4 linked regions of the Lepisosteus oculatus genome follow. The protein of the gene in region 2 binds, or shares a complex with, the protein of the main gene of each other region. Links are inferred from orthologs where the notes say so. Each region holds a gene or a part of one and is shown on either strand. Other genes may lie near its edges.

Evidence for each region.
Region 1: exosc6 (region 2) and exosc2 share a complex: the UniProt entries of both Homo sapiens proteins name them as parts of the RNA exosome core complex. The link is inferred for Lepisosteus oculatus from reciprocal best matches to the Homo sapiens genes EXOSC6 and EXOSC2.
Region 3: exosc6 (region 2) and exosc1 share a complex: the UniProt entries of both Homo sapiens proteins name them as parts of the RNA exosome core complex. The link is inferred for Lepisosteus oculatus from reciprocal best matches to the Homo sapiens genes EXOSC6 and EXOSC1.
Region 4: exosc6 (region 2) and exosc7 share a complex: the UniProt entries of both Homo sapiens proteins name them as parts of the RNA exosome core complex. The link is inferred for Lepisosteus oculatus from reciprocal best matches to the Homo sapiens genes EXOSC6 and EXOSC7.

Annotation. Positions count from the first base shown.
Region 1 is NC_090719.1:14,545,344-14,553,803, reverse strand, and holds the start of exosc2 (exosome complex component RRP4), read right to left. Parts: upstream 3,552-8,460; 5' UTR 3,508-3,551; coding exon 3,386-3,507; intron 2,448-3,385; coding exon 2,346-2,447; intron 2,030-2,345; coding exon 1,984-2,029; intron 927-1,983; coding exon 837-926; intron 284-836; coding exon 218-283; intron 47-217; coding exon 1-46. Other genes in the region: prdm12b (PR domain zinc finger protein 12b), read right to left, coding at 7,287-7,867, 8,346-8,460. UniProt on the Homo sapiens protein: Non-catalytic component of the RNA exosome complex which has 3'->5' exoribonuclease activity and participates in a multitude of cellular RNA processing and degradation events.
Region 2 is NC_090715.1:1,373,709-1,380,858, forward strand, and holds exosc6 (exosome complex component MTR3), read right to left. Parts: upstream 2,300-7,150; 5' UTR 2,258-2,299; coding exon 1,430-2,257; 3' UTR 1,272-1,429; downstream 1-1,271. Other genes in the region: protein-glutamine gamma-glutamyltransferase 2-like, read left to right, coding at 212-365; aars1 (alanine--tRNA ligase, cytoplasmic), read left to right, coding at 5,022-5,165, 5,371-5,559, 6,110-6,255. UniProt on the Homo sapiens protein: Non-catalytic component of the RNA exosome complex which has 3'->5' exoribonuclease activity and participates in a multitude of cellular RNA processing and degradation events.
Region 3 is NC_090699.1:16,729,244-16,737,437, forward strand, and holds the start of exosc1 (exosome complex component CSL4), read left to right. Parts: upstream 1-4,510; 5' UTR 4,511-4,562; coding exon 4,563-4,590; intron 4,591-5,364; coding exon 5,365-5,480; intron 5,481-5,683; coding exon 5,684-5,758; intron 5,759-6,094; coding exon 6,095-6,183; intron 6,184-7,103; coding exon 7,104-7,137; intron 7,138-7,235; coding exon 7,236-7,286; intron 7,287-7,626; coding exon 7,627-7,711; intron 7,712-8,194. Other genes in the region: phosphoglycerate mutase 1, read left to right, coding at 799-979, 1,221-1,390. UniProt on the Homo sapiens protein: Non-catalytic component of the RNA exosome complex which has 3'->5' exoribonuclease activity and participates in a multitude of cellular RNA processing and degradation events.
Region 4 is NC_090705.1:41,382,618-41,390,832, reverse strand, and holds the start of exosc7 (exosome complex component RRP42), read right to left. Parts: upstream 3,480-8,215; 5' UTR 3,383-3,479; coding exon 3,326-3,382; intron 3,053-3,325; coding exon 2,951-3,052; intron 2,544-2,950; coding exon 2,449-2,543; intron 789-2,448; coding exon 623-788; intron 257-622; coding exon 186-256; intron 1-185. UniProt on the Homo sapiens protein: Non-catalytic component of the RNA exosome complex which has 3'->5' exoribonuclease activity and participates in a multitude of cellular RNA processing and degradation events.

The sequences.
Region 1 (8,460 bases), on a different chromosome or scaffold from region 2:
TGTGGAGGGAAAGAGCCCCATCAGAAAAGACTGACTGCACTTCTGCCTGCGCAGCACTGAGTCAAGGAGCTGATCGGTCACGTTGCTCTGCGGACACAGTGTAACCGCGTGCCTGGGAGTACTGATCCTCTCCACTCACAACCAGATGGCAAAGCCGGGCTCGATCACTTCATCCCACCTGCAGCGCTACTTATATTTCCCGAAGAAGAAAGGATACACTGATCAGGTCTCCTTCTTGCAGGTAGTCTCTCATGGTCAGCTCATCTTCTGCCGATCTCCTTCTCTGAAAAACACCCAACAGTTAGGCCTCATTCCCTTCACACATGGAGGCTAATTTCATATTTTACAGTGCCCCTGAATAGCTCAGCTGCAGAAGAGTGCAGCCTGTGTACATTTGTGGCAGATTTCCAGAGTATATGAACAGACATCGGCGACAATCATTCCCAGTCAGCTCAGCACAATGTGATGCAAGCACTACAGGGGTAGGGCAGGTTGTACTTCGCCCAGGGTTTAGCAGTAACCCATACAAGCCCGTTACCTCTGCTTGCTGTGTGATCACACCGAGCTGCACCGGTTTCCACTTAAATCTGCTGCTCGGTCTGTGGGTCTGCAGATTAAAACTGCAGGCCATGTACATCCACACCTCTCTTGGGTCTCTTGGTGTCCCATCTTTTTGGATTCAACACCGATCTCTGTTGTCTGCCCGTAGCATAGTAAAACTCCCAGGGAAATTGTATTTTTTCCCACAAAACAATCTCCTGGCAAGTCCTGCACAGCGACAGAGACATGCCAAGTCCCCGGCGCTCTTCCTGCTGGGGGCAGCCGCCTGGCCTTACCAGCTCTCCCCCGGGGAGGTTCACTGAAGACAGCAGCAGCACGGAGTCCAGCCGGGAGTTCGTCTCCACCTTCCACCGCTTCTGCTGAACCTGCAGAGACCGGCAGGCGGACGTTACTCCCCGTGGGGCTGATCTCCGCCCAGAACACCCCAGCCCCTAGGTCACCCCAGGAACCTCCGAGACTTCTGGGATTAACTAGCCGAGTCGCTTTAAGAACAAAATCAACTCTAAATGCCAATACAAGGCACACTACTGCAAAAGGCCTCTGAATAGGTCTTCCTGCACTGCTCCGAAGAGAGTGAGTGGAAAGTCACTGCGCTCCCGTTACGGCCAGCTGCTGAAATTAAGTTGCGAGAATGCCTAAAGTCCATACAGAACTGCTGCTGCGACAAGGAATCCGCACACGAGGCTACAGTCTTGCATGGGAACGCACAGAAAGCACGGCAGTGATTCAGATGGGCCTGTTTTTTAGAATGAGTCCCACTGCATGCCGCCTGCTTCCGATGGGAGAAATCTGCGAGTGATGACTGTCTAAGGTGCTTCATAACTTTGACTATTCAGCATGGAGGCTGCAGTGTGGTGGTATGGGAGTCCATCGTTAGGTCTGTGCACATGGGTTTCTGTAAAAGCCAGGGGCACCATGACAGCACTAGACTCCCAGTACTGACGGAATGCATGATGATGCATCACATAATGGCGATTTAAAAAGAGGAGTGATGAAAATACATTACAGCTTTCTTGCAGCCCTGAACTAAAACCTACCAAATGGCCTTTAGAAATGAGACCCAGAAGAGCAAATAAGGAAGAGACTATGGACAGCAGAAGCTGCAAAAGAAAGGCGCAGTATTCATTTGAATGGCTCCCCGGCGTGCTATGGAAGGTATTCCTTCTACAACTGCAGTGGTGATCAAAGCAAATGGCGGGCATCGCCCTGTTCGGCACACTACCATCCTGTCCTTTATCCCGTCGGGCTTTTTTTTGCAATAAAGCGTCCGTTCGACACGAGATTAACTTACTCACCGACGGCTTGTTGACCACCGATTCGGCGGAAGATCTGCGAGTGAAACGGACCCGTGCACACTTGTGCGCTCCTGTGCACCAGCACCGCTCACCACAGCACACCCCACCTTCTCTCGCCGCCACGTACCTCAGTGACCCGGCCGACGACCACGTCCCCGACTTCGCCGTTGAACCTGGGCACAAAGACGAGACGCACACAGGGAAGGGTTTCTGCCTAGAGCCTAGAAGAGCTGGCGAACGCACCAGGTGGGTTCCAGGCCGCCCTTTATCTGGACCCTGCCCCCACCACAGATTGGAAAAACACTCGTTTCATCACGCAGCCCCCAGCCGGGGAGGGAGGTGAAGCTCACGGTCACCAAGGAGATGTCCGCGGCCACGTCTTGAGTCGTCTGCGGACACGAACTCGCCGACACGCGCCAGAGCTAAGGCACGAAGACGGCAGCACGCCCTCCTAAGAAACCGCGGGCGTGGCGCTCCGGCGGGGCTCACCTCGTCTTGAGGGGTCTCACACAGATCAGCTTGTTGACCCTCTCCACCTCTCCAGCCACCGAGGCGGTCAGCTTCTCTTCGTCCATGTAGGTGCCATGTCCCCTGCAGGGAGACAGAGCGCAGACTCAGAGATCAATCCTTTTTTCCATCTGTTTCATCCAGTTCAGGGATGCGGAAGTGCAGAGGCAGGGTACACCCAGGACAGGACACCAGATCTTCACAGGGCACACAGACACAAACATATGCCCACTCACACCAGGGACAGTCGTACTAGACACCAACTCACCTACCAGCATGTCTTTGAACTGTGGGAGGAGACTGGAGCACCAAGAGAGAGAACATGTAAAATATTTTACCAATACTACGGTTGCTTTCAAACGCCTACACCGAGGAACGTCTTGTGATCCGTGTTGTTGGTGAACGACGCTGCGTCAGGACCGCACGACAGCTCTTCCCACATTTCAGGATGAAGTTAAGGGAGGTAAAGGATCCCGAGCACAACTAGTCAATGTGAAACAGCACATAAAACCCCAATCTCTAATCTCACTGAGCTACCGTAGTCCACACTAAACGGCACACTCGAAACGTTCCACCGTTGTTTTATCAGCGACATCTGCCGGACGAGTGTACAACAACAAGCGAGAAATCCTCTACATTAAACCAGATAGCGTTTTCTCCGCTCGTTAATCCAATCTTTACATGAGGTTTAAGGGTTTCATCTGTTTTTTATCTCCTCCACCCTAGGTGACCGTTTTTCAAAACCAAAAAACAGTCAATCTGCCAGCGCTACTTAAAATGCTCTTAAACCCACTGACAACATTAAAGAAAGGTAATGTCAACCCTAACTGCTCAGCTTTCATTCAGCTGAAAGGTATGGTCAAGGCAGAAACTAACTCAAACAGATCTGCATACATTTCGGCGAAAATTAACACAACAAACTTTATTCCTGTTATTTTGCAGAGAATACACGTGTACGTAGACATCAACTTCACAAAGGCCTCTGCGAACAGTCTGGAAAATATTACAAAACCTTCAAATACCTCATGAAACCAGTGTCTGTAGTAATGACATCTCCTGGAGCTACAAGATGTTTTTCTTCGATTGCAGATAAAGAATCTGTCACCCGTTTACGTCCACTAGGTAGTCTGATATCAACAGCCATCTTCAATTCCTCTGTGTGCACACGGTCGCGGCTCTGTTCGATCACGTCACGGCGCTTATTGTTGACGTCATCGCTCTCCGGGCACCGAAATGCAGTGCAGCACTACATCACAATAAACTTTTAATGAATTAATCACCTGGACGTATTATGTAAGTTTTTTACGTACTCGAGTGAATAAAGAAATCTACAAATACACGTCGATGTTAGAATAAAACAGCGAAATTGAGTAAATCACTTCTGAATTATAAACTTGAAAACTGAATCTTCTTGTTCACTGATTCAAGATATTTATTTAATAACGTGAGTTATATCTATATAGATCACTGTATAGAAAACAACAAGTCAGGGAAAAATAATAACAATAAAAAATAATTCTCGCCTGCAGCTCACAACGGGCAGCCCCACTGAAGCTCAGCAGGTGAGCCTGGTCAGTACCTGGATAGAACACCTCCTCGGGAAAAACTAGGATTGCTGCTGGAAGAGGTGTTAGTGGGGCCACCAGGGGGCGCTCACCCCGCTGTCCATGTGGGTCCTAATGCCCCAGTATAGTGACGGGGACACTATACTGTAGAAAGGCGCGGTCCTTCGGATGAAACGAAAAACCGAGGTCCTGACTCTCTGTGGTCATTAGAAATCCCAGGGCGTTTCTCGAAAAGAATAGGGGTGTAACCCCGGCGTCCTGGCCCCAAATTTCCCCCTGGCCTTTACCAGTCACGGTCTCCTAATAATCCCCATCTCTGAACTGGCTCCATCACTCTGCTCTCCTCCCCACTGAGAGCTGGTGTGTGGGGAGCGTACTGGTGCATCATCCAGGTGGGGCTGCACACTGGTGGGGGTGGAGGGGATCCCCATTACCTGTAAAGTGCTTTTGAGTGGAGTGTCCAGAACAGCGCTATATAAATATAACTAATTATTATTATAACAGATCCCAGCAATTCCATTAATACAAAAAGTATCGCGAATTTACTGCCTCCTCTAGTGGACACTTAGGGAAACGTAAGTGAGTTTGGAAGGACATTTTTTTGGAATAATAATTGTATCTGTTTCATTTACCAGGAATGATATTCTTTGTTTTATATGGGACGTTACATTTTGCTTACTGTGTGAAACTCACATGATACCAAATACTAAGGTGTCGGCCTACATGTCTGAGCAATTCTGATTATTATTATAAGTATATAAGTGTAAGCAATTATTATTAGTAGTAGTAGAAGTATTATTATTATTATTAATTATTATTATTATTATCTAAAGTCTTAAATAGGCAGCGGCGTCAGCATGTGTAGGCTGCAAAGGAACAAGTAAAGGTTTAGTCAATGCTGTGAAGTTTCGGCTGTGGTGCCTTCCTCTAGTGTGGTGGACAGAGGAAAGCCAGCAGGAGATGAAGCTGGGAGTGGACAGGAGGCAAGAGCAGGAGAGAAGCAGTATCACTGCCCAAGATGGGCAAAGTCGAGAGAGGTGTGAAGTCAAAGCCTGCAAATGAATAGAGAGGACTGGAAGGAAACGAGTCTGTCGGTGAGAGAAGGAGAAGGTGTGATCCTAATTTCAGGATAATCTGGGTTTCTGATGTCTTTCTGTGATAGTTTGAAAGAGTTTTGAAACCGTTTTTAAGTTTTAATCGACACTTCAATGAATTCCTTGAGACTTGTGTTTGTGTTGACCTTGACAAGAAAAGAATAACATTTTCACAGGTCTCTACGCAATATGAGAAGACAATATAAAAGCAAAGGGCGATATACCACATATCAAATATAGTGGTACAATGCACTGCTAAGACCACGTTTAGATTACGGTGTTCGATTTCGATCACAACACTGAGAGAAAAGGTTTTTACTGTTTGGCAATCAATCCAGAGAAAAATATCCAAATACCAGGATCAAGATTAGGAGGGCATGGTGGGTCAGTATTAGCATTGCAGCCTTGCAGCAGTGAAGACTTGGGTTGAGTTCCTGGAGAGATGTCTGTGGGGAGCTTGTATGTTCTCCCCGTGTGTGCATGGGTTTTCTCCGTGTGTGTGTGTGTGCCCTGTCATGGACCAAGCTTAAAATGACTACACTGACAGGCTGAAGGATCTGGACCCTTTTAGTCTTGAAAAGTGAAGACTACACCTGACATGTTCAGATTGAAACATAAACATAAGAAATATAAGACAGAGGGCACAAGTGGAATCAACAGGAAAGTGCAATTGGGACTGAGAACAGGAGGCATCTCTATACACAAACAGTTGCAGAAGCATGGAACAAGCTACCCAGGTATATCAAACTCCCTGGGTTCTTTTCAGAAACAACCGAAGGAGATCCTCCAATAATTAGCTACTGGAAACCAAACGAACCAGATGAGCCAAATCTCTCAGCTTCTTTTGTCATCTTTCATATCTTCTTACTTTCCTGGCTCATAATCTTCTCTTAGCGCTTCAATAAGCCAACACTGAAAATGTTTAGAGGAGTTCTGCAATGAGTGCATATTGGTGGTTTTGAAGAGTTACAGTAATAATACTTACCTGAATGTTAAAAAAAAAAGATTGAAATAATCATGGGTGTTTCATGAACACAAAATTATGCATGTAGTAGTTTATTTAGAATGCAAGATGAAAAGTACAAAGTTATTTACATCTGCATACATATACTATTAATATATAATACCAAAGTGTTGTAAATACTGTTTTACATAAATATGTACATACATAAAGTGACTATTTAGTGGAAGTATAGCACAGTTTTAAAATTATATTTACATTTCATATATATTTTAATCATTTTATATACATCTTCTGTTTCTTACGATTCTTTTTCTCCCGTACAGGAAGGGTTTCATACAGGTGTGGAGACACTAGGGGCGCACCAAGCCACACAAAAGCAAAGGAGCATCGCAGCTGAGAGCCATCGGAGAACGATAACATCCATCAGAACAGTTTGAATACAAACTTAAACCACATCAGCTCGCCGAACACTGTGTGTCATTTCTCATCTTTTCAGTAACCATTATGGTATAGAAGAAGTTCTTATAATGTGTGTGTTGTTTTAAAACAGTAACATATTCTGAACAAGATCTAGAGAACCGGATGCATTAAACAAAACAGCATTGTTTTCTCACACAATGTAGCACATTTTGTATACAAGAAGTATACCACCAATTTTCCCATTTATACCCAAGGTATTCTAAGAAACAGTATGTCTTTGACATACCTACTGCAATCCATAATTTGACTGACAGTTGTTTTTATAAAAAGTTTTCTTGTTAAGACATATAGACAGGTTCCATTGTGTTTCCAAAAGAGAGGAGAGCAATTTAGCTAACATCTAATCCTTCATACATACTGTATTTAGCACAGCTGTCACTTTCTAAAGCATGGGAGAAAAAAATTCAGGCACAGCGCACCCCCCTGCCATTAATTGTACCGGTGCTTAAATCGACTACTGTTTTTCAAAAGTCCGCTTTAAGCTGATGCGCAAAGCTTGCGGCAGCGCGAAACCGAACTCCTCGCGTCTAGTCAACGATTACAGGTGGCGGCGAGAGGTCTCATCGCTGAAATAACGTGCCGGTCCGTGAGTCTCTCGGAGCTGCCTCTTGTCCGCGTTCACATCCGCCGCGTAGCACTGCCCGGCCTTCGGGTGAGCTTGCGTTTACTTTCCCTTTCTGCCAATGCGCACAAGGTTAAAACGTGGTCATGTGCGACCGAGACGCGGGGCCAGGGCGACGCGGAGGCCGGGAGAAAGCGAAGCCTCCGCGTGTCGCCGGGGTTCGCGACCTGTTTCTCTGGGTCCCCAGGCTCCCCGCCATCACAGGACCATGGTGGGGATGTGGTGCGCCAGGGACACCGGGTGAGGCACGGGGGGCATCTGCGGCGGCGGGGGCGAGTGGGCCTGCAGCGAGACCACGGCCCCGGTGCCGGAGGGCCGGTGCCGGGCGCTCTTCTGGTGCGCCCGGAGCCCGGCCAGCTGCGAGTAGGCGCTCTGGCACACGTGGCACTTGTAGGGGCGCTCGCCCGTGTGGAGCCGGACGTGGTTGCGCAGCGTGGAGGACTGGCTGAAGCGCCGGTTGCAGAAGCGGCAGACGAAGGGCTTGTCCAGCGTGTGGATCCGCATGTGCGACCGCAGGTTGCTGCGGGAGTTGAAGCCGCGGTGGCAGATGACGCAGCGCATGCGGCTGGAGGCGGCGGAGGACGAGGAGGAGGAGGAGGCGGAGGAGGAGGAGGAAGAGGAGGCGGACGAGGAGGAGCCGTCACACAGGTGGAAATCGTCTGCAAGGGGAGAAACGGGCGCCCAGCCGTTAATCGCACCGTCGTGTGAGAGGGCTCCTGCTAAATCCAGACTCCTCTGACGCAGCTTGCGATCGAGCACAGCGGCGGCGTCCTCTAGAGCTGTGTAGCGGTTAGGAGTGTCATCGTGGCGCAGATTGTATAACACCACAAAAGAAACTAAACTGGCCATACCATGCACCCATGTGACTTAAAAGTCCGCCGCTGGGACTTAATTTCGGAATAACGTAGCATTAACGCTTCAAAAAGCGGGGTTCAAGTAGGCAACACCGCCTCACAGACATCTTTGAATACACGACTGGGGGAATGCTACGGGAATGCCCTTTGCTCAAAACAAGAAGAAAAGCACCTCGCGATTAAAAGGCTTAATCACAGTATCTCAGAAATCTATGGCCCCAAAGACAAAGGGATTTGACTAGATAGCATCTTTCCTTTCAGCAGCGAGACCCACAAGCGAGGCAGGAGCAGTTTAAAGGTAATAGGCGCGAGTGCTAATCAACTCTTTGTCACACGGAGGGCCCTGATAGCGATCAGCCCTGCTCGGCTTAAGCTCCTCTTAAGCTCTCAGCGCAGTACCTACCGGTCTTCTGCTTTTTCTGGTGCTCGTCCTCTATCCCCGGGACCCCAGGGATCCCCAGGAAGGTGTTGTGGGAATTTCCGTACCACACCAGCAGCTCCTGGTCTGGGGGGATTGT
Region 2 (7,150 bases):
TACATTTTTAATTTTTTCTTTTGCTAATGACCTCCAGTGTTGGATGATTGAGAAAAATGGTGGCCCTTGTACCCCTATTCCCCCATGGGCCTTTATAGCCTGAAAAGGGGACCTCACCTACCTACCCTTGTTAAAACATTTAGCCCTACACAGAGTGCGCTGGGGTGAGTTCTTCGCCTGTCCTGACAGACTCCCTGGCTCTGTCTTCCAGCGAGGAGATCGGACCGGGCCAGACGCTCACCGTGCAGGTTTCCTTCAAGCCCTCCAAGCCCGGACTCCGGACGCTCCTGGTGGACTTCGACACCGACAAGCTGAAAGATGTCAAAGGTCTCGCCAAGGTCATAGTGCGGCCCAAAGCCCAGTGAGAGACACAGGCTGCAAGACTCTTCTTTTTTTGCCTGAGGATATTAACAGCTGTACACTATAAAACCATAAAACTGCCGCAGCGAATAGAATCGAGCAGATTAATTGTTTGCATCTCAATGTGGTCTCTAAAAAGTCTCTGAAAGCTTTTCTTTGGTGTGTAAAAAATAACTTTTTAATGCTTCTGATCACTGTAGGTGACAATTGTTTATACAGTGAATTATAAACTTTATCATTTATACTAAAAGCCATTAAAATATTATATTTGACTACAACTTTCTTTGGGTATATATTCCATCCTCTTCTACCTTAGAACAAATTGATCACTGGAATCTAGTTATAGTCTCAAGAGGGTACTTTTAACTACTGCTATTGGAGCAGATATACTCAAGAGGTAACTAAAATATTTCTGAATCACACCTGTAAGTATACACTGGCAAAACATTTTCAGAAATCTAAAAGGAAATACTGAACATGGAGTTCTGCTTTCAAAGACCATGGTGAACAAGTTTGTAGACTCATTGACAGAAAATAGCCTTCATGAGTCCAAGATTAGTGTTGATCAGGGTCTGTAACCAGTCACACTGCACACACACAAAACTGTCTCTTGATAGACAGACTTCTGATTTACTCAAGAGCTTCATTCAAGTGTGTCAGGTGTCCATTTGAAAGGAAAACAAGTATCTGAATAAACGATCAAGTTTTTATGAATGAAAATAGTTTTGGACAATTCAGGAGGATCAACTCCCACACACACACACATCCATACAAAACAGAGTCGGGAATAATTCCCTGATGTCGGTGTCACTGGATCTCGAGGGATCCTCACTTTCTACGTGTTCAGTGTTTTTGCAAAATACAGTTTTGCGTTTGTCGCACGGGAAAAGAAAAAGGAAAAGCAAACGAACTGACTCACAGGAACGTTTAATAGAAAAATCAGACGGCACAAATCGTCCGTGATGTATATGACAAAAATAAATATCTCGTCTCTGAGAAACGCTTCGCCGACAGAAAGAAGCGCGTCTTCAAGTTCACTCGCTGTCCGGCAGCTCCAGCAAGTTCGCCCTCAGACGGCTGTCGGAGGCGCTTTCCTCCGCACAGCCCTCGCCAAGGCCTGCTGGATAACGGGGTACAGGCGCTGGCACCCCTCGATGCAGGCTTTCACAGCCCCCACCAGCGTGTCCTCCGCCATCTCCCCGTCCGACTGCAGCCCCGACACCTGGTGGAGGCTGGGCAGCAGAGCCACAGTCACCCTGCCCTGGTTCTCTCCAGACCCGGCGGACTGGGCGCCGCTCTCCTCCGCGAAAGTGGGGTCGATGAGGAAGGAGGGCCCGTCCTGCCTCAGCGCGCAGCCCAGGACCAGGTCGTACATCTCGATCCCGGCGTCCGCCAGCGCCAGGGAGGCGCAGGTGACGGCGTGGGCCAGAACCGAGCCGTCGTGCTCCAGCGCCACCACGTTGACCTCGATCTGCGAGCGGGGGTACTTGTGCAGACAGGCTGCGGGCAGCAGGCTCTCCAGCATCCCCAGAGACAGATCCTTCTCTTCGCTGCCCTGGATCCAGGAGCCCCTCTTCGGGCACGAAAACGGGGCGAAGCGAAAGTCACACACCAGCCTGCCGGACTTCATGTCCACCTCGTCCTTCCTGTCGGTCTCCCGTGGTCCGTACACCGAGCAGATCAGCTTCGTGTTCCCCGCCTCGATGTAGGCAGACCCCTTTGCCTGGCTGATCAGTCCGCATCGCGCAAATACGGGCCGCACGTCGGCCTGGCTCCGCTGCCTCCCGTCCTCCCTGCCTTCCTGCGGACATTCAGGCTTCCTGGTGCTCGGGAGGACGAAAAGTAACGGAGACTGAGACTCATCTGGACCCCTCACTCGCTTGGTATCCACCGGCATGGCTGGTGTGGAAATACCATAGACAACAGTGCGCAATAGTCTTTTGTAGATTACACTTCCTGTACACTGCGGGCAGAGGTTCATGGGATACGGAAAGACCTCCGAACGAAGGTTTTGGAGGAGAGGGATGTGCGCCGGATATAATTGCCTTTCCGCGCCGATACGGCATGCAGTATATTAAGTTATTCTAGATGTATGAGTTTCTGTTGTAAATACTGACTTTTCGAGATCATGGCCGTTAGTAATTTTGACGAGCAAAACGTTTTCGTATGACGTCACAACGTTACTTCCCGAGAAAGGGCAACAGATGATAAAATGTAGAGACGGCATTTACAAGATTTAGTTTTTTATTCTAATATATGTAAGTATTTTTTAATCCCGGCAAGCAAGGGATACAAGGCAGGACACACTCGCACCAGGGCCAACTTTCCAAGCTGCCAGTTTGTGTTTGGACTGTGGGAGGAAACCCACACAGGAAGCACACCCAGGAATGGAACCCAGACTCCAAGCACTACACTATAGCAAAGCTAACTACTGTACCACTGTACCCTAATAAGACCACTGCTTAACCAGTAGGTAGGCCAGATTGGAGATGCCCCTGATCTAAATTAAATTAGACAGGACACCAAGATGACACCCTCTTATGAGGCCTATTGTGGGATCCTTCATGACCAAGCCTTAGTGTAAGGTCATATGTGAGGGTCCTACAGCACCGTGCTGCCAGTCACCATACTGGGGCATCGGTTTGCATACTTTGAGCCAGGTGAAAGATCGCCTCCTGCTGGAGTACCAACACCTGTTACAGCAGCAACCTGTTTCCTTCAGAGGGCTCCCACCCCAGTACTGGCCATGCCCAGCTCTGATGAGGTTGTGAGATCTGATGAGATCACGACAAGCCAGCAGTATTGCTGTCCAGCTCTTTGGAGCGTGATCAGTACCCACCCTATTTTTTTCTGCATGTTGTGTCCCTGCGTGTTAAGGACTACAAGCAAAAACAGACTGTATACTGAGCGTTATTTTCTTAAAACTATTGTTGTTTCAAGACCTATGTGCATGCAACGAACATGCATAACATTAGAATGGAAGGTTATTAACACTGCCTTTTTAAAAACTCGTGTTTCAGCTGTATAAAGCCCTGAAAGTCCGAGTACGTGGGCGCCACACCGGGTTAATGACAGATCTGCAGTACGCGCTATGCGCTGCAGCTCTTCCACACGAGCCGACTTACGGATAAATTGCATCAGCCGCACTCGGCGTCTCCGCGCGGCCGAAAATAACCGGTTTGTGCCTCTGCGTAAGACTGACATCCCGTGCAGCCAATCCGCACCGAGAAACAGTTAACTTCCTGCTGCAGCGAACCAATGGCCACCAGGGAAAGGCGGGGCAAAGGGGTAAGGCGTGTGGTTTTGCCGGTGCGAGGCAGTGGTCTGCTGAGCGTGTGGAGATTGGAGGGTTTCAGACTACATGTGAGTTATGTCTACTGTATTGTGCTTCTTTTTTGAGAATTAAAGGCTAGATTTTATGTGTTCGTTCCTAATATGTGTGGTTTTATTGATTATGTATCATTATGATAAGCTATTACGAGCTCTGCCTGGTTGTTGAGGGTTATTTTGGTCAGGTGACTCTAACGTAGCTTCTATAAATCTGATTTCTTTTGTCTGAACCCACATAAAGGTTTCTGATGGATTATTTCTGATGTTACAGTACGAGCGAATGTGAGACATTTTGTTCCGTAACTGGTGGATCGTTCTGTGCAGGTAGAAGATGCATACAATATAATTTGTGTTTGTGACCGTGATATTAATGTCCGACGCTCGATTGCGTCGTAAGCCTGCTGTCAGAAGCGGCGGTGTTTTTGTGGCACCACGAAAACATGATCATTCAGTCATATGTTTCAGCAAATAAAAGTGCAGACGTCATTATTCCTTATCACGTCTCCACAAAAAAAAAAGGCAGTGTTATCGTAAGTAACTACTGTGATTGTACATATATTTGCTCTCAGAAGTAGCGCATGCACTACAGGAATAAAGAGCCGAGAGTCAAGTCCTTGCGGGGTTCAGCGCAGTCTTGCTGTTCGGAAGCTGCAGAGGTGAAGCTCAGGGTAGAGGCGGGCGGGTTGAAGACGCGATCGAATCGATTCCAGCGGTGAGGTGTGACGATTTGGACACTTTCTGCAAAGCCTACACTCGCGAAACGTGGACACCCCCCCGCGGGTAAAAACCATGCAGTGCCCTGTCGCATCACGTGACAGCGCGGCGTGTTTTAAAAGCCCCGCCGAGTCCTCGCGGGGGGGTGTCTGCAGAGCTGCCCGCACAGGCGTGGACGAGGTGCCGCCTGCAGGCCTGTTGCTCGCCGGCTCGTCACTGAAGTGCGTGAGAGCAAGGTGTAAGGGAGGCCAGGGTCACCTGGGGTGTGAGTGCTTGAGCAGTTCAGAGGGAGCGAGGCTGCGCTGTTAACGTGCACTATCGTGTGCTCTTGAAGTTCATTGAGGAGAGAAGCAGGTATAAGTTATTTGCAAGAAGGCAGCGCTCGTTTCTCCCTGCTTGTGTGCATCCAGACGAAGAGCTCGACTGTGACGTCATTCTTTGGCAGTTTAGTCTTTATTGTGTCTGGGGAGATTTGCTGCAGCCCAGCTGTTCCCAGGTGGGCTGTTGCTGGGAACAGGTTCCGACAGGTTGGGGAATGCCCCGGGGGCGCAGGCCTGCCGCCCTCTCTGACCCCGCGCGCCCCTCTCTGTCCCGCCCTTCCAGAAGCTGCTTCCACGATGGACTCGTCGCTGACGGCCGCGCAGATCCGGGAGAGGTTCATCGCCTTCTTCCAGAGGCACGAGCACCAGTATGTGCACTCCTCCTCCACCATCCCGCTGGATGACCCCACGCTGCTCTTCGCCAACGCCGGCATGAACCAGGCAGGTGTCCCCCCGGTCACTGAGCACCCACGTCCGGGTCTGGGAACCCCTCGCTCTGCAAGGGCGCCCACAACTGGAGAAGGGGGCATGCCTGCGTCCCTCTCTGGCACGAGCGGACTCTCGTTCTTCCTCCCCCGCGTTCTGGCTCTGGTCCCCTCTCTCGGCGGCCTGTCCTCAGTCTCCCTCTCGCTCTCTCCCCGCGCAGTTCAAGCCCATCTTCCTGAACACCATCGACCCCGCCCACCCCATGGCCAAGCTGCGCCGCGCTGCCAACACGCAGAAGTGCATCCGCGCCGGCGGCAAGCACAACGACCTGGACGACGTGGGCAAGGACGTCTACCACCACACCTTCTTCGAGATGCTGGGCTCCTGGTCCTTCGGGGACTACTTCAAGGTGAGGGGCGCACCCCGGGAGCCCCAGTCTGGAACCCCCAAGCTGCAGCTTTGCTAATGTTTCTAGTTTATTCCATCCATCCATTTTCTAGCAGCTTTATCCAGCTCAGGGTCGATGGGAAACTGGAGTCTTTCCCAGCAGTCAGTGGGTGCGAGGCAGAACACACCCTGGACTAGACGCCAGTCCATTGCAGGGCACACACAGACACACACACTCACGTCGGGGGCAGTTTCCCAGAAACCAGTTAACCCACCAGCATGTCTTTGGACTGTGGGAGGAAACCCACACAAACACAGAGAGAACGTACAGGTCCAGAACTGAGCCCAGGGCCCCAGCACAGCCAGGCAACAACACTAACCACTGCACCTCCCTTGGCATTCCTGGCTTCTTTTTTATTCATTATTTCTTTAACCCTTTGTCTTGGGGGATTCTTACTGAATCACCTTCCAATTTTATTTTTTTAAAATAAAAACAGCTGTTTGTCAGCAGAGGATCTGCTGGGAGGGCCCCCTGCTGTCCGAATGAGTCTGATTGTGTCTGTCTGCTGTAGCACCTGGCGTGCCAGATGGCCCTGGAGCTGCTGACGAAGGAGTTCGGGATCCCCATCGAACGTCTGTACGTCACTTACTTCGGAGGGCACGAGGAGGCGGGCCTGGAGCCGGACCTGGAGTGCAGGCAGATCTGGCTGGACCTGGGGTGAGTGTCTCCTCGACGCCTCCCTCTCTCCTCTTCCACCCTCCTGCTCTGCCAAGTGAGCTTTCTGGGATGGCAGCCCAGAAAGGGAGCAGCGTCCGTCATATTCAGTATCGGTCAATGCGATCAGTCAGTTTTTTTCTAATATAGCACCTCAATCCAGGGCATTCTAGATGAATTATACCATATCTGGTGATAATAAGTTACTAGAGTTTCAAAAATCTCATTTATCAAGATGTTGAACAGGAGGAACTTTGTCTTTTAAGATTTTCCCTGTTGTCTCTGTGTTTTTTCAGGTCTTTTTGTTTGTGAAATTCTGCACTTAAACAATTTGTAGATGGATTTTGCTCCCCTTTATCACATTTCTCCTTGAAGACAAAAGCTCACCTCTCTGTCAGCGCAGCTTTTCAGATGTGTGTAAAAAAACCAAAACACTGAGTTTCTGGACTCCTGTGAAAACTAGAGAAATCCCCCCTCCCCCCCATCTCAGAATTAAATAATGGTCTAACGTAGCAGGAGTCTACAGAGTCTTATGGACTGGTGTCTCAGCTCTGCTGTCCAGACACAGCAGAGTGTACTGGATCTGGAATGGTCAGTTTGACCTACTTGCAAACTGGCAAGCTCTTCGATATTCCAAACCTTTCTGACTGAAATCTGAACCGGTAGCCCTGACAGTTTAACAGTTCCAGACTCGTCCCTGGAAATTGCAAATGTCCCTGACTGTTTCTCATGTGAAACTGTATTTTAGTTTTTAGCGAACGAGTGTGGCACTGCTGGACATTTCAGCTCTTTTCACCTTCCTGTTGGGCGGGTGGTTCTTGCTCTTCTGGGGAGAGGTCTGAATTGTTAAATGTGGCAGTGGCCGCTGTTTCTGCATGGAGGCCTTCAGAGCAAGAGC
Region 3 (8,194 bases), on a different chromosome or scaffold from region 2:
GCAGGAATGTGCAGTGGTCAAGTATCAAAGTTCAGCCAGACGTCACAAAGACAACAGGCAGTGGTGATGGGGGCAGGGGGCTCAGGCTTGTGGAAATGTGGAGCTGGAGTGTTGGCATACGGTGTCACTGCGCTCAAAATGTTGTATGTCATAGCACGAGACTGGAACTGTTTGACATTATTATTAGCTTTTAAAGAATTATTTTTTACCAGAACAGTTTGACTTGCTGTGAAATATTTCTTTTTAACAACTGAAGTGAAAGAAAAAAAAAACTATTCAATGAGCCTTAAGGACTTATAACTGAACTGAAGCTGATACATTTGTTTTCAAACATGACAACACACCAGAGTCAGTTTAGCTGTAGCAGAGGCAGACTGAGATTGCCGGTATTCTCTGATTTATTATTACAGGTGCTCTGTTCGAGCACTGAATCTGAATTCTTCTTATTTTCAGGCTGTCTATTTATAGTCCTTAAACGGTGCTCGGTATTGTAATGAAGTTTGAGTTTCAGCATCACAGCCAGAATGTTTCTTGGCAGTTTCTGTCAGCCAAGGCCAGAGTTCTAATTCATTGTCTACTATATCTTCTGGAAACTAGCCCTTCTGAAGCACGGGTCTCCACAAAATACCATCACCGGACCTGTCCTCTGCTTTTTTAGCAACGAACGTGCGTACTGATGTTTACCTTCTTTTCTAACCTTGACTCTTCAGTCCAGCCCTGGGCCTGCTGTAAATCACTCCTTCAGTGTACCATTATACGAGCACCCAGAGAGACCTTGTGTTTCCCTGCTTCCGGCAGGACCGTCGCTATGCTGACCTGACGGAGGACCAGCTGCCCTCCTGCGAGAGCCTGAAGGACACCATCGCCCGAGCTCTCCCCTTCTGGAACGAGGAGATAGTCCCGCAGATCAAGGAGGGCAAGAGGGTCCTGATCGCTGCCCATGGCAACAGCCTGAGGGGCATCGTCAAGCACCTAGAGGGTATGTACCCGCCGAGGACGCTCTGTTTTTAGGGCAGGGTTTCAATATTATGGCAGCTACATTTCATTTAACCTATTTTCCCATTAATCTTGTGGCACCAAAACTGGTACTTTATTTCTGATGTTCTCGTAATGCCTGACTGGCCTCGGGATTTGTTTTCGACCTGCCGCCGGCCGAGCTGTTCCGGCGGCGCGGCGGTGGTGGCAGGATGCCATTACTCAGGCTGCTCTTGTGTCGACAGGCATGTCGGAGGAGGCCATCATGGAGCTGAACCTCCCCACGGGCATCCCCATCCTGTACGAGCTGGACAAGAACCTGAAGCCCGTGAAGCCCATGCAGTTCCTGGGCGACGAGGAGACTGTCCGCAAGGCCATGGAGGCGGTGGCTGCCCAGGGCAAGGCCAAGAAGTAAAAAGAAAGCCTCCTGTGCACGAACGCTGGAGGCTCCTGGCAGGGGGGCGCTGTGCCACTGCTCTCGGAGGACACACGCAAACCTCCCTTCTACACCACACATCACAAGTTTCATTCCCGGCGCTCGCTCAGGTCATTTAGCATTGTCCTTCTCTTACTTTCTTTCTGATACAGGACAGTTGGAGGGTTTCTTCAAGGTAACAAGCAAGAAGAGCGGGCTTGTTAAATTTGTCATACGCGAAGATGGACAGGGTAGGATGAGGAGAATGTTAAAGACTAATGTAGACCAAAGCTCAAACAAGGGACCAGTAGCTCAGTCAAACAGTTTCTTGACCTGCAATATCTGACTCCTAGCTTCTTCATTCGAAAAAGGTCATTGATAATCCTTACAGTTTGTTTAAGCGTTCATGAACAAATTCGTTTTACATATGAAGCTTTGTTTATGCCATTAAAGAATTTGACAACTTTTCAAAGGGAACCCTTGGCCCAGTTTAAAAGGGAAGTCAGACTTTTCATTTTGTCTCCTGTATAAGTAAATATGCAACAGGGAAAACAAAATTTGGACACAAAGCTTTATTATTGCTGGATAAAGCTGGAATGTGCCCTGTAATTCATTCTCACAGGTTTACTTTTCACAGCAACTTCTGTGTGCGCTGTAGTCATTCCGATGTCGCACATTTTGAGGTTTTGGGTTACAGACCGGCACACGAGGAGCAATGCTTTTGCATTCGATTCATTCCACGATCCCTGTTGTCAGCTCCTGAGAGCTGTTGCCACCTGGGCACCTCTGCCTCCCTCCCTCCCTCCCTCCCGTCACATGCTGGTATGTCTGTAGTTTTCACCATTGTGACGCTGTTTGTGTGTAGGTTTCCTGCCAGTTTCCCGTGAGGAGTGGGCTCTGCAGCTTGAGCGCATACAAGCGAGAAATAAGGAGCCCCTGTCTCTGAACCCAGTGTAACATCGAGTGTGAATCCGTCACCTATAGCACCTACAGTGAGAGCCAGTGAATCTGCTTTGTGTACAAGGCCTTTCCATACACAGTAACAGATTCTGCTTCAAATAAAAGGGCTGCTGAGGTAGGACACGAACTAACACATTTCTCCAGTTTGTCTTCCTCTACCGAAGACCCAGTCTAAATCTTGATGTTTTGATTGTTAGTTCTGTCTTGAATCTTGGCTTTGGAGAGGAGTATAAGCAGCCAGTTACTGCAGCATTCTTCGGTTCTGCAGGTGAAAGCCCCTGTTCCTCAGTTTGTATGTGTGCAGGATACTCTGCCCCTGCTCTTCACATGAGTGTTCATGTGGCTTTGCTGCCAGTGGTTCTTCAGAGAGCTTCAGTTTGATTAGGGTTTATTGCAATGCACTGTTTTGATGTACACTGAACCCCTTGTGTAAAACAAATAAATCCTATGATGTGCAGTATTGTATTGACTTTTGTCCCTTATTTTCACTTATCTCATAAAATGATGTTTATGATTTTTTTCTTTTGCACTTCCATATACTCCTGTTAAGCTATATAAAAATGTGAAAATTTCTAGTTGAAATAAGATTTAAACATACATTGAAATCTGATCTGTAGTCTTCATAAATACCACATCACTAATAGTATCATTCCATACTTGCCAGAGAAACCTATTTGTTGGAAGAATTAAAATAATTGTTGGAGATATTCTCTGCTAAGGTCTTGAGTGCTCCTGTAAGGTGCTTTTCAACAGGGAGAAGTGTGGTCAGAGTGCCCTCTGCTGGACATAATTCATCCTGTGTTTTAAACGCGTCCTCAAAAACGCTGGCATTACAGTATTTACCATGAAACCTATGAAAGTAAAATTAGTTATGCTCTGGTGTGTTTCCTGAGAGGACTGATGAAGATGGGGTCTGAGATCCATGGAGCTCGTACACGGTTAGGTAATGCACAGGACATATGTAAAATACTAAAATAGGAAAATATTTAAAAAATGGATTGGATGGATTGAACTGTATTCTATCCTTTGCAAAGTTTAGCTGTAAAGAAACAAAGGGTAATTGGGATGCACATCTATTATCCAGAAGAGCGGAGTGGAAGAAGTAAACGGTTATACAGGTGTTCACAAATGGGGGAATTAAACATTTGCTTTAGGTGAAATTACCATCTTGGTTGTAAACGATTTAATCCGGCGATAAATTAAGGAGGTGTCTGACGTTCAAACTACATGTGGACCAGACCCGCTTTTCTGAAAAAGTATTTCGAATAACACTTGGAGTACAGGGTACCCTGCCTGTTTGGAAAATCACAAATGTAATTACCATTCATACCAAAACGGGGACAAAATTGAATTAAGGAATTATAGACAGGTCAGCTTCTCAGCCACGTCTAAAGTAGTGTAAGTTTAACTAGAGTAGAGGAGCACATAAAGAAAAATGCAATCCTGAAAATAATTTTAGACAGAAGATAGTGAACAGACAAGTGGACGACCGTGACGGGACTGCTCGATTACATGGAGGTATCCGTGACTACTGCTCTCAAAATGTAGACTACATAAAATGCATTTGTGCTTCCAGAACGTTTTTGAAAAATGACACATGAAAGTGATTTAAGCCTGTCAGAGCAGAACTTTCCTTTAAGGTAAAAACATTCATAAAGCCTGCATAGATAGATCTTTAAAGGTGATACTCTTCTGCTCGTCACGATCTCCGCTTTTAAAACAACTGTACATTTAGGCACAGGTAGAGGTTTATTCCATGTTGAAAGGAAAAGAAAAGAGACGCAACGTTTCGGCCGTGTAGTCTTCAGGTGTGGCTTTAACAATATCACACCTGAAGAAGGCTCCACAGCCGAACCGTAATGTTTCCGCGTGGAATATACGTTTACTTGCCCCTTTGCAGCCTACGCATTCTGAAGCAGCTACGTACTCGAACTGTACAATTACAGGTGGGATTTTACTCCATGTTTTCTGTTAACTGGTGTATTCAGATTAACATAACTTGCAATACAACAAAATGTAGCCATGGTAAAATTAAAAGCACATCATAGACTCGCAATCAGGTCACAGGTCTCTTACTCGACCGGAAGTCAGTAACACTGAACCACTAAAAAAGCTTAATCTAGAACAGCCGTTCTTAGCTTTGGCCAATCAGATGACTCGTTGCTTCTGCCGTGTGGGCCAATCAGAGCATTTCTTATTCTATTCTGAAAACATGTCTCCTAAGACGCTGTGTGTGCCAGGTACGTGGGGTTTAAAAACGTTATGTGAAATAAAATGTATTTAATGACTGAATCGTCTGGACCTGACAGCAGTTAATACACACATGGATACATTTTGACTGCAGGGTTTCACTTTCTTGTCTTGTATTGATTCTTAGTTCATTCACCAAATGTTGTGTGAGTTTTTAAAGTAAAAATCATAGTAATTCTTAAAAGTTTGAAAATGATCCCCTGACTGAGCCACATTGTTTAATATAACACTTTTTTGTCAGTAAGGGTAGGTCTCTCGGGGCAACAGAGGTTATAGCACATTTCGTTGCTGTTTTCGGTAGCTGTATTCATAAAGTGATGCCAGAAACTGAGTATGGGTATACCTGTCTTGCAGAACAACTTTGCAATTGAATGATAAATTAAAAGTCGTATTGAAAGGACTCGGTGTATGGTGAGGTATAACATTAGAAACAGTAGCAGTATCAAAGCAATCCATCAGGAGCCAAACACTTAAACCTAGTATAGTTTGTAAAGTTAACCTCGCTTTACCGACAGTTACATCATCCTGACGAAATTCGTGTCTTAGGTACGTCGTAGAGACTATTTTTGAAGCTTAACGCCATTTATAAAGTAGACATTTAAACCATTAAGCCACGTCTTCTGACCCCGTCCTTATTAAAGTTGGCACTTGAAAGTTGTTATTTTCAAGTGATGCTGACAGTATAAACAGCATTGTTTGATTGTTCTGTTGCTCTGGGGCTGGACTTTGAGCAGTGGTTGCCTGTAAATATTGTCGTCCCGCAGGAGAGAGGCTGTGCAGCACAGAGGAGTGTGTCCCGGGGCCTGGAACGTACTTGCGTCATGGCTACATCTTTGCCTCCCTCGCTGGTTATGTGCTGAGGAAGAACGCGGGAGAGGAGGTGGGTGAGAGTGTGGAAGAATTGTACTTCCTCCAAGTGCATCTCCTAAGTGTGGAAGGAAGTGTTGCGTGTGCAGAGGAAAATGGTTTAAAATATACCAGAAAGATCTGTAAATGGTCATTGAAACTGGATTGTGCATTTGTGATGGTGCAAGAGTACTGTTCTAGCAATGGGAGATTTGTCTTGGCTGTTGTGTTCTGCAGATGCCTGTGGTCTCGGTGGTGAAGGAGAGTGAGGCTCAGCTGCTGCCTGATGTTGGCGCTACAGTCACATGCAAGGTAGGAGCTCTGTCCTCCAGGGTGTTTTACACAGAAGTATGAAGTTCTCTGTCCTAACATCCCTCGGTTTGCTCTGTGCTGCACAGGCATAGCAATACTAACATAAGCCTACCTCACTGTTTTTTTGGTCATTTGTATTTTGGTATTATTGTTTTTTTTGCCACCCTAGACTAATAATATCTTAAGTTGTAGATAATAGCCGAAAATTCCTATTATAGATGTGAAGTGCCAGTGAAACAGAATGTCATTTTTGTCCTGGTGATTGTGGAGTTAGTGTTATGAAAGAGGCTTGGTCAACATTATAGTTCCAGGGGAGTGAAGGTCTTTTGCCAACAGGTTACAAGCATCAACCCACGATTTGCTAAGGTCCAGATCCTCTATGTTGGATCCACCCCACTGAAGGACAGATTCAGAGGAACAATCAGGTAACTAGAGCAATGACATTTCAAGTAACATGTCTCAAATTATATTTTAGCATATACTTTTATTTACTTTGTAAATACCCTAATAATGCATAACATATGTGTTGTTCTTGTGATACATTTTTCTCACTGACCCGTCCATGGCTGTCTCCTTGCAATGCTATGTGAGAGTTAATAATTTTTATGGACAAATTGAGTTTTTGTATGTAATTTCACAATTGAATTTTCCATTCATAGTGAACTTATATTCTGTTCTATTAGTGAGTGAAATGTGAAAAATCCACATCACACGGACAGGTTTTGTGTGTATGACCATAATTTCTGAATATTTATTATGCATTTTTTGTCCTTAGAAAACACTGTTGTTTCATTGTCAACTGCTGTATTTGAACTGTTAGTCTAAAAACAATTTGCATTTATTTTTGGTGCTTGGAGACTCTACTGAATAATTTCCATCGGTCCATGTGTTTTTTCATTCAAGTCTTGCCAATTCTTCTTGCCTGTTTGCATCATGTTAACACAATGCACAAAGTCTTGGGCTAACGATTTAAACAACTACAACAAATAAATAAACGTTCTATACATGTGAGCTTTGTAGTTATAAGTTTACAGACATAAATGTAACTATATGAAAACAGATGAAAATAGCCAGGACATTAAGGCTAAAGCCCAGGTTGAGGAAGAAAGCTGGTCCCTGTCATCACAAAGGTGGTAAAATGCCGCTGTCATGTACGACAGAGTAGTGCTGCTTATTTTTTGGCACAGTATAAGGCAAATTCCCATGTGACCCTGAATTAAAATATTTCTAAGCAATACTGAACTGATGGAAAGTTGAAAGACGCTGGCGTCTCATGTTTCTGTGAGTGTGATGCATTTAGGTATTTTTGGTACAGAATCTAAATTTCTAATACTTTTTTTTGTAGAAAGGAAGATGTGAGAGCTACAGAAAAGGACAAGGTATTATTTTCAAATTGACTTGCAGTGCATTGATATCCAATAAGTGCCTTTATTTCCGGTTTCCCAATCCCATGACCTGTAAATTTACTCTTTATCAGGTGGAGATCTACAAGAGTTTCCGACCAGGAGATATCGTTCTAGCCAAAGTTGTATCCTTTGTAGATGCTGAAGGGCAGACAACAGCCCTCTGTTGCTCGACACCTTTCTGATGCTTCTAAAAAACATTAACAAGAGCTGCGCGTTTGCCGATGGGTTCATCGGCAGTCAGCGCACGCTGCATGCAGTGCAGCTTTTAGCGGTATTGTGAATAAAGGGCTCAATGGAGATGTAAAGCTTGAGTAGTAATAAGTCTGACCTGTATGTCTGTACAAAATGTTCTGAATAATGTCTTGTGCTGTTAAGTTCTAGATCCAGGCTTGAGCCTCTCGGTTACCACAGCACAGTGATTCCAGTTCTGTCTGACCTGTGTTGCCCTTGACCACTAGGCAGATCTCCCTAGGTGATGTCCAGTCCAACTATCTTCTCACCACAGCGGAGAATGAGCTGGGAGTGGTGGTAGCACATAGTGAAGCAGGTGAGTATGTTTTCAAAGGACCTGCATTGCTGACTTTGAACTGATTCTTACCTGCACGGATGAATCACATTCCAGTTTTGCAAATTGTGCGTTTTGACTGAATAGAATAGAATGGTGTTCTGAATTGTTGAGGGAGAGAATACCATGAATATAATCTTTCAGTTGGCCTTAGGACTCTGCATGCAGATTTCAGAAGATGTCTGCATTTCTCATAGTGCCCCAAATTACAACAGTATTGCATAGGGTTTTGAAGTCCTGGTCAAGACATGGTTACCCCTCTGTTATTACTGTGACTGGGGATTTAGTGACCATTATCGATCACATTGTAATCATACAAAATGCTCCCATTTATGGCACTGTGGCTGTTCCTGATAATGTTATCCCTGCCTTTCGGTTGTTTCTGGGATGCCACGTATAATGGTAGGCGTCTGTTTAAAACGCTCTCGAGCCAGGTCGGGAGTGTTAACCCTGTCGGAGTGAGAG
Region 4 (8,215 bases), on a different chromosome or scaffold from region 2:
ATTATTATTATTATTATTATTATTATTACTCGCGTATTACAAACCTAGACTTTACATATCATTTAGGAATAGCCTAAGTATTACTATGACATGAGAGGTCAACTCATAAAAACTTATCTTTGGCACAACCATGCACGTCTTCACAAACCGCTGACATTACAACTGGAACACATGCATTGCCTTACCGTGTGTTAAAGAGGGCTGCTTTAACTGCTACAGAGATGGCATCATACAGGTTTCCATCACATTGCAGCAGCTGGAAAGCAAACATTAGAAGGAGCTTTCAGATGCAGCACCTGGCATTAGAATAAACTCTTACAACAGTTCTATTCATTTGTGCATAAAGAGGTTTTTATGAGTCTCCACCCTAAAACTCATGTTTACAGCGGCAGAAACAAGTCAAGTTTGACCACTGCAAATGCACACCACTTTAGGAATGACTGAAAAAAAAAACATCGGAATACCCTGCAAAGACGAATATTTAAATCAGGGAAAGAAATTACCAACTATAACTCCCTCTCCTTGAGAGACGAAAAATAAAGGCAGTGTATCTTTAAACCTCTTATAAAGAGGTGCAATGCTACGCACTGAATTTCCGAGGCTCTGGAGCGGACGTACTCACCAGCACATCCACATACAGAATCCAGCAGTGCTCCTTGGGGCTGATACAGAGCGCCCGCAGGTCAACGCTGTGGCGGTTGTTGAACACCTTGTACAGCGTGTTACTGATCTCGGTGCCGAGGTCTTCTCCCCCTCGCCCTTCAAACTCTGGGGTTGCGTTTGCCGAGCTGAGGAGCAAGTTTTCAAAAACACGTGAAGATTTGTAGCTCGAACCAGCCCTTAAATCCTGGAGATTTCAGGAAAAGACAAAACAGTTGCGTACAAAATGGACTTACCAATATTGCAACAACCACTATCTGCTACTATAGCATCGTTAACCTTCTATGTTCTCAAAGTGACTCTACTTTGCTTTCCCCTCTTGTCCTTTCCCAGCGTGCAAGACAAGATGTGGAGCAGAGGTTTGAAGAGACGGATTTCTCTGTGCTGGGCAGCACAGCAGTGAGGACTGACAGCTCTAGGACTCTAGGGTTGATCCTGGCCTGGGGCAGCTTCTATTTGGTTCTGCAAGCTTTGCAGGTGTTCACATTGATTGTGCCCAGGTGCTCCACTTTCCTCTGGATGCCCACAGACAAGGCGACAAGGTGTCTCTGGGTTCTATGTGTATGTGTGCAGGAGTGAGCGCGCGCCTCTCTCTCGAGACTAGCTCGCTGTCCAGGATATAATCCTGATTCTATCTAAGCAACACGGAAGTCCTCTGGGTCAGCCTCACCAGGAATAATCAGCTTTATCATCAGTGTTGGAACTGAACTCAGAATACACTCCCAACATTAGAAAATGTATTGTTGTGATTAAATATTTGTCACTTCACCCTCTGCCTAAAGAAATTCAGAGTTAATCTGAAAACCATTGATTACCGGTCCTCAGAGTGAGAGAAAACATGTCTGTTGACATTAAAAACCAAAATTCTGTTTCAAAGACTTTCAGCAAAGGCAAAAAAAATCCATTTTTAATCCTTTACCTCCACCTACTGGTTGTGTATACGAAGTGTATTCAGTGGAGTGGTTCTTAAATGACAACTGTTTTGATCCAAAATCAAAATAAACACATCCTGGTACGCCTTTGTGTCAGCACTAAGGCCTAACAGCTGACGCTTCAGAAAAGGGGTTTTCAGTCTTATAGACCACCACAGGAGACAACTGCTACCGGCTGGCTTTTCTCAACTGCACTAGTAAAACTGTGTTGTGGCTCGAAATTCCATATCTAACTGAGGAAGCTTACAGAGACAAATGTTCTCTGAAGTAAAGTTAAACTACTTGGATTACACACAGAAAAAAAACATCAGAATAATTTAGCAAAATTTCAAACTCATCATTTGCACCTGAGCTGTGCAGCAGAGAATTTGAGTATTGAATGCAACAGAGAATTTTGACATTTTCATTGAAAAGATAACTTTGGTAACACTATCAGCATTTCTTTTTTCGCTTTATCACTTAGGAATAGTCTGTGTTGATTCAAAATAAAAAGTCAAATTTGAAAGCGTCAGGTTTACCAGCTCGGATATAAAATGTGGAATCCTTCAGGATACTTGTGCAAGACTCTCTGTATGCTCTTAAAATTGAAGCAGAACTACGTATTTTCAGTTATGGTACACTCAGATTCATCCTTCTACTTATCATACACTTTTGAAGAGTTAATACTCTAGAACTTTTTAATATTCAACTGTCGTAACTGTAAGTACAGTGTAGAATTCATATTACTACTGTCACAAGACATTGTGAATTATTTTTACTTTTTAAATTTGCACTGTCAATCTGTGCAACATACAGGACCCAGTGAGAGCAGTGGTACTGTGCTGAAAACTGCTGTTTGGAATAAAAAACAACTTACCAGTCAACAAAAAACTCCAGAAACCCTTCATCTGGCACCATGGGCCTCGGTCTGCCAATCTCTGCTTTGATTCCCACAAGGATATCCGAGTACCCCTGGAGAAACCAAATAAACATCACACCGCGAAGGAGCAAGTAAAGGTTTATTCCCTTGAGAAAGCTTGGGATCCTATTTCAACTCACACTGCAAACAGGCTTATACACTGCTAAATGAAGTCTGAAGCAACATGTGATGTAGAGAATGTGGCTGAGCACAATACTCTCTTTTGTCACTCTGTCTGGATAACTCAGATCTCCGCAGTGGTGTTCTAAATGAAGTGTTATATCTTCATCAACAATTTACCCATAAGCAGCAATGAAAAACATGGAAACCTCCATATTTTTATCATGAACACACACACCCCCTTGTCACTTAGCTCATTTGTCTGAGCGCAGGGAAGACAGTGAGACGCACAGCTGCATCGTTGCCTCTAGAACGAAGGCAGACCGGATGTGTTATTTACCAGTTTAACTCTGGCGGACCCGTCGGTGTTGGACACTACATCAGTTTCAATCTCCATGTGTCTGTAATCTTCACAGCCCCGCCCATCCACTCGCAGGTCATCCTAAAAAAAATACAAAAATAAATCGTGCACGTTATTTTCCAAACAGGTTTCTAAAATCGCTTTCAGCGTGAAGTTGTTAATCGGCTACCGACTGCTTATTACCAACTGGGTTTCTACATAAGCACTGAAAACAGGTTACTCTCACGGCGAGAGAGAAGTTGGTTTGCATTTAAAGCTCCGTTTCTCCCGCTTAACAAACTCACACACCAAAATTGAACACCCACCCCCCTCCCAGCAAAACACAATTTCGTATAATTTTATAAGGTAACTCACCCGAACACCATGCACGATGTAGACCTTCTCTGCTTCGCTGATCTGCACAGTAGCCATGTTTTCTCCGCACCACGTGTGGCCGGGACAGCCGCTACCTCATCAAACTGCGACACGCCGGGGGGGGGCGCGCCAGGTCGGTCCGATTGCGCAATGCTGTGAGGATTTTTGCGGACTTGGAAAAACTGTTGCATATGCTGGCAGCCCTTTGCCTTTCAACAGCCTCCGGGGGGTAATATACCAAGAAGGACGCCTCGGAAGATTTCGCACTGGTGTGACTGAAAAAACGGGAAGGAAGGGTGTTGTTTAGCTGGAGTTCGGGGCGCAGGAAGCGTCGCCTCTTCACGCACACGGCGCACTTCCTGGTTGGTTACTTTCGCTTGCATTGGCTTGGCCAGAGCTCTCCAGATAGTACAGGGACCCTACCGACTGCACCGTCGAGCAGGGGCATGGTGATGCGGAACTGCAGCCACCTTAATCTATGGGTTAAGGAGGAGTAGGTCGGGCAAACCGGCAGTTAGTTGCGTGATAAGACACACGCACAGCGCCTTTGGTTCAGAAGGGAGGCGCGCATCGCGGTTCGCCAAGGTGCGCTGGCAGCGGGAGGCAGCGAGTGTATGAAGCTGACATTAGGTTTTCCATCGCGGGTGTTTCTGACAAGGAAACAACATCTGGCCGCCTGTGCCTTAAACGTGCAACCCCCCTTCGTCCTTTGAAAGGTGAGTGCAGACCAGTTGTTCGGCTTAAACTCGAAATCTTGCACAGTGGCGGTGGTTTGGATTCCTGTAGCTGAAACGACGGCTCGTTTAAAAAAAAAAAAAAAAAAAACATGCCACCTTTGGCCAGTCTGCGTTTCCTCCCATTATAAAATAGCGCTAGCGTTGTCTGAGATACCGCAAAATAGCCTTTGGAAGTCGAGCCCATGCCGCGAAGGTGGACGGGTTTGACGTCGGTTTCATCTCGAAGCGTAAAGGTTGGCAGTCTCGGGGAGACATCGTCGCGTCCACCCCACTCGCGCATTCCTCCCAGTTTGAAGAGGAGTGACTGCGGCGATATGGCTGGCGGTCTTTCCAGTTCGTCAGTCGGCAGCTTTTTGTCGTGTCAGGTTGGCCACCATCTGTGGTGCGATGGAGTGTGTATCACCATAGCAGATCCATGTTACAAGTAATGTAGAAAGTGTAACAGAGATATCGTACAGTGTGTTTACCCCCAGAACCCTTATGGAATGCCACTACAGCAGACGTCATTTTAATGTGTTTATCTTGTGCTGGGAGTCTTCACATTGCTGTGATATAGGCTGATGTTGCTAACGTCTTCCACAATGCTAAACGTCCACAATGCTAACTAGTTTTTAAACTTGAGTGCTATTTTCTTACTGTAATTTGTTTGTGAATAATATTCACGATGCATTCAGTAGTAGTCCCACGAACTTACAGGATAACAAGATTTACCCTCCACTTGGTGTTTTAAAAGTATAGATTTTTTACAAATAAGTATAGGGGTGCAATGAAAATGTACCACTTTCATAACGGTAGCGCACTGGGCTTGTGCACTATATTATTCACATCTTAATTAAGAGTTGAGATGATTTGTTGATTGAGTAGTATTCGTTGAGAGGGCGAAATACTATCAAGTCGTTTGATTTAGTAAAAGGCCTGCTGTTTAGTATTTGTGAAGAGTTAAAAGAATCAAGATGAGCTGGCAACCTGTATAAACGTGATTTAATTAACGCAAGAACAGTGAGATATATGACCCTGCCCTGCTGGAGAAGTGAAGATCCTCTGGTTGCCGTCTGCATGATTGAAGGCTGTAGGAAGAGCTGATCCGCAGGAGAATGGGGCTGGCAGCTCACTAGTTGAGAGAAACCAGGAAACTGGCTCTGTGAGGGACAGCCTACAGCCCGAGAGGCAGGGGGGCACCACGCTGGCCGGGACTGTGGCGTCCCATTGCGGGACTGTCTTCAGGTTGGGGGGGCTCCGTCACTGGAGGAAATCCTGGAGGACGTTGCAAGCATATCGGCAGATGTTGTAGCTCCACACGTGCACGAAAAAGATCCGCGAGTGTGAAGGCTGTTCAGGCATCGTCTCCCGAAGGTGCCAAAGAACACGCGAGGTGGCAGCCGAGGGGGTGTTAAGAGTGTCTTACTCACCTGGCGGTTTCACTCTTGACAAACCCGATGGAGGGGTGCCCACATGGTGAGCTTCGTGTTGAGTGTTGCTCCGGCCAGGTGTGACCAGCTGACTTCCAGCTGCTGGAAGCAGCTGCAGAGGTGTGTCGGATCATCCCACAGCGGACTGTGCAGAGGCTGATCAGGTCCGTGCATCATTTGCTCAGGACAGTTGTTCCCACTGCTTCCTTTGCAATATTTTCATTTTGACTTTGTGGCATTTTCTCACCTTTTAGTCTGAAAAACCTTTTGCATTTCTTTGATCCCATCACATTTTCTGTGGTTTGTGACTAGATCAGTTTTAGAGCTGTGTTGCGTTTCTTTTGCCCATCGTTACAAAATTGTGCTGCACAGTTTAAGGTTTGTTCCCCAACGCTACATTTTCCTGCACACGGCACACTTAATGCATGCCAGAGAAAACGCTCTGCAGTGGTTTTGAGAATTTTGTATGTATAGCAATGTGTCCATGTGGTCAGCATTATGTATAGTAAATTTCAAAGTACATTATTGAATACAGGGAAACATTTGCACAATTGCACATTGTGAATTTATAGATTTTGTTTAATTTGAAAAGTTGCCTATAATGCTGTTGGATTATTTGCATTATTAATCTTCACTGTAATTGTAGAAGAGCCGTGTTTCCGGGACAGTGACATTGATAGTCGCACAAGGCCTGTGGTCTTGCAGGGAAAAAAAGCTTTTGTGTGTGTGAAGTACTTGGTAACTTGGTTCATTAGCCAAAGGGAATAGTGCTTGGAGTCTCTCAAAGCCTGAAGAAGCCAGCCTCGCACAGACTGCTGTCTGCTAATTAATCATTTCTAGATGATGTATAACTCTTATTATTCGTAATGATTGTTTGGCATTAGCCGGGATTCTGACATTTAAGGAACTGAGTTACTTTTATGAGGAGCATTTGAGAGTTCTGCTGCTGGCTTTGAAACGTCCGCAGTTCTACTATAGCAACTTAGTAATATTACTTATTAATCACGTTTTTTACAATGTGGTGGTCAGTACCGCACTCTCTCCCCCTTCTTTGTGACGAGGTTGATCGTAGGAATTCATGTTTCACGTTACAATTCTTTTGACGATCAAGATATAGTTTCAGCCTGATTTAAGAAATTCTGCTCTGACACTGCATCTGTTGGCTGTATTTTTTAATGTTGCTGGTTGCTCTGTCATCTTCATTTTAAGTTTTTCCCCCTTTGAATTATTGAGCTTATTTTAAATTATTGTTTAAAATCATCAATTATTGAAAAGAATCTGCCTCTTCTGTTGGTAAGAAAGAATTCCAACCCATCTGATGAATGCATTAGTTTTTTATTTGGTTTTGAATTAGAATGTGATCTTATTTTGTTGTCGTTTTTTTTTGTTGCAGTACCATTGTTGTACGTATAATAGTGTTTCTTCTTTTGTGACTGTGGCCTGAGAAATAATTTACCTTTCTGTCTATTACATTTGTCCCTTTGGTGAAAGTGACATTGTAGTCTGGCATTTCTAGTTCTTAGTGTTTACCTACTATCGTAGTCTAGTTCTTAGTCATATACCCTTCCCTTTGTGTGTACAGTACACAAATATGTCCCTTGTAGGTTCACAGAAAGGCACCTACAGTACCTTTACAATCTGGCTGCTTTTTAAAGAGGGAGATATAGAATATCATAACAAAGTTCAATAGTTCAATTTCTATATGTTACTAGAATGAGAAAGAATGTTCGTTTTGCATATCGGTTTTATTTTTGATGAATTGGTCATTAATGACTGACCCTGGTTCACTCAAGTGACTTTGACGCTTTCATAAGCATGAAGTCGCCTCATTAGTGAGAGGGCTGATTGGGCACAGGCGACGAGCTGATTTAACCTTGTGAACGTCCGTTGTTATGAAGAAATCCCAAGTGACGCAAAGGCAAAGGTGTTGCAGGAACAGACCAGCCTCTTTCACAATAAATCGCGGTTTGCGTTGCCCACCCTGATGTATATTGGCGAGCATGGTGCGCACAGGCAGAATGATGCACTTGATTGCTGGTCCCGGTGTGATGCCATTGGTGGTGATTTTTTTAACAGCCTGACTGCATGCTGCTTCACTGCTCATGTTCTGGGATGCCACTTGCAGTCCTTCCTGTGGGCTCATCCTGGTGCAACGATATGACAGCTGAGTGGCCTTCCTGGGAGACGAGTGTGACAGTTCAGTCCAGGTTATTCTGTCGTATGCACAAGGGCAGTGGAGTGCTCTTTCGCATGTGTGCTCCAATGCAAAGACATTAAGGAAAGGCCAAGCCTAAACACAGAACGCCAGCAGCAACAGCAGCAAAGGTAACGCACACTCAGCTGAAATAGGCCCCCTTTTTCTTCCCCAGATTTAGTTCTGCCATTTTGAGACCGGTCTTTGCAAAAATGCAGCCGATCCGGGAAAATCAGGATCCTGTCTCTCAACAAACGAAAAGAAAAAAAGTGAAAGAAATTGATTGTCCTGATCATAAAATGGCCAGGCACAGATGTAGCCTGATAGCGGAGACAGCGGGCAGGGTGACCTTTCGGAGTGCTGTGCACAGCTCGTTGGCTTCTGAACCGGGCTTGGTTTTGCACAAACGATGCCAACACAATGATGCTGGCGAGTGTAAAGCTCAAGGTAATCAATCACAAAGGCCATTCGGTAAAAATCCTGTTTTTAAATCAGGCCCTTATCAGCGTAATTTGAACGCAGTGATCTAGCTGGATTCCTCAACAAAGCA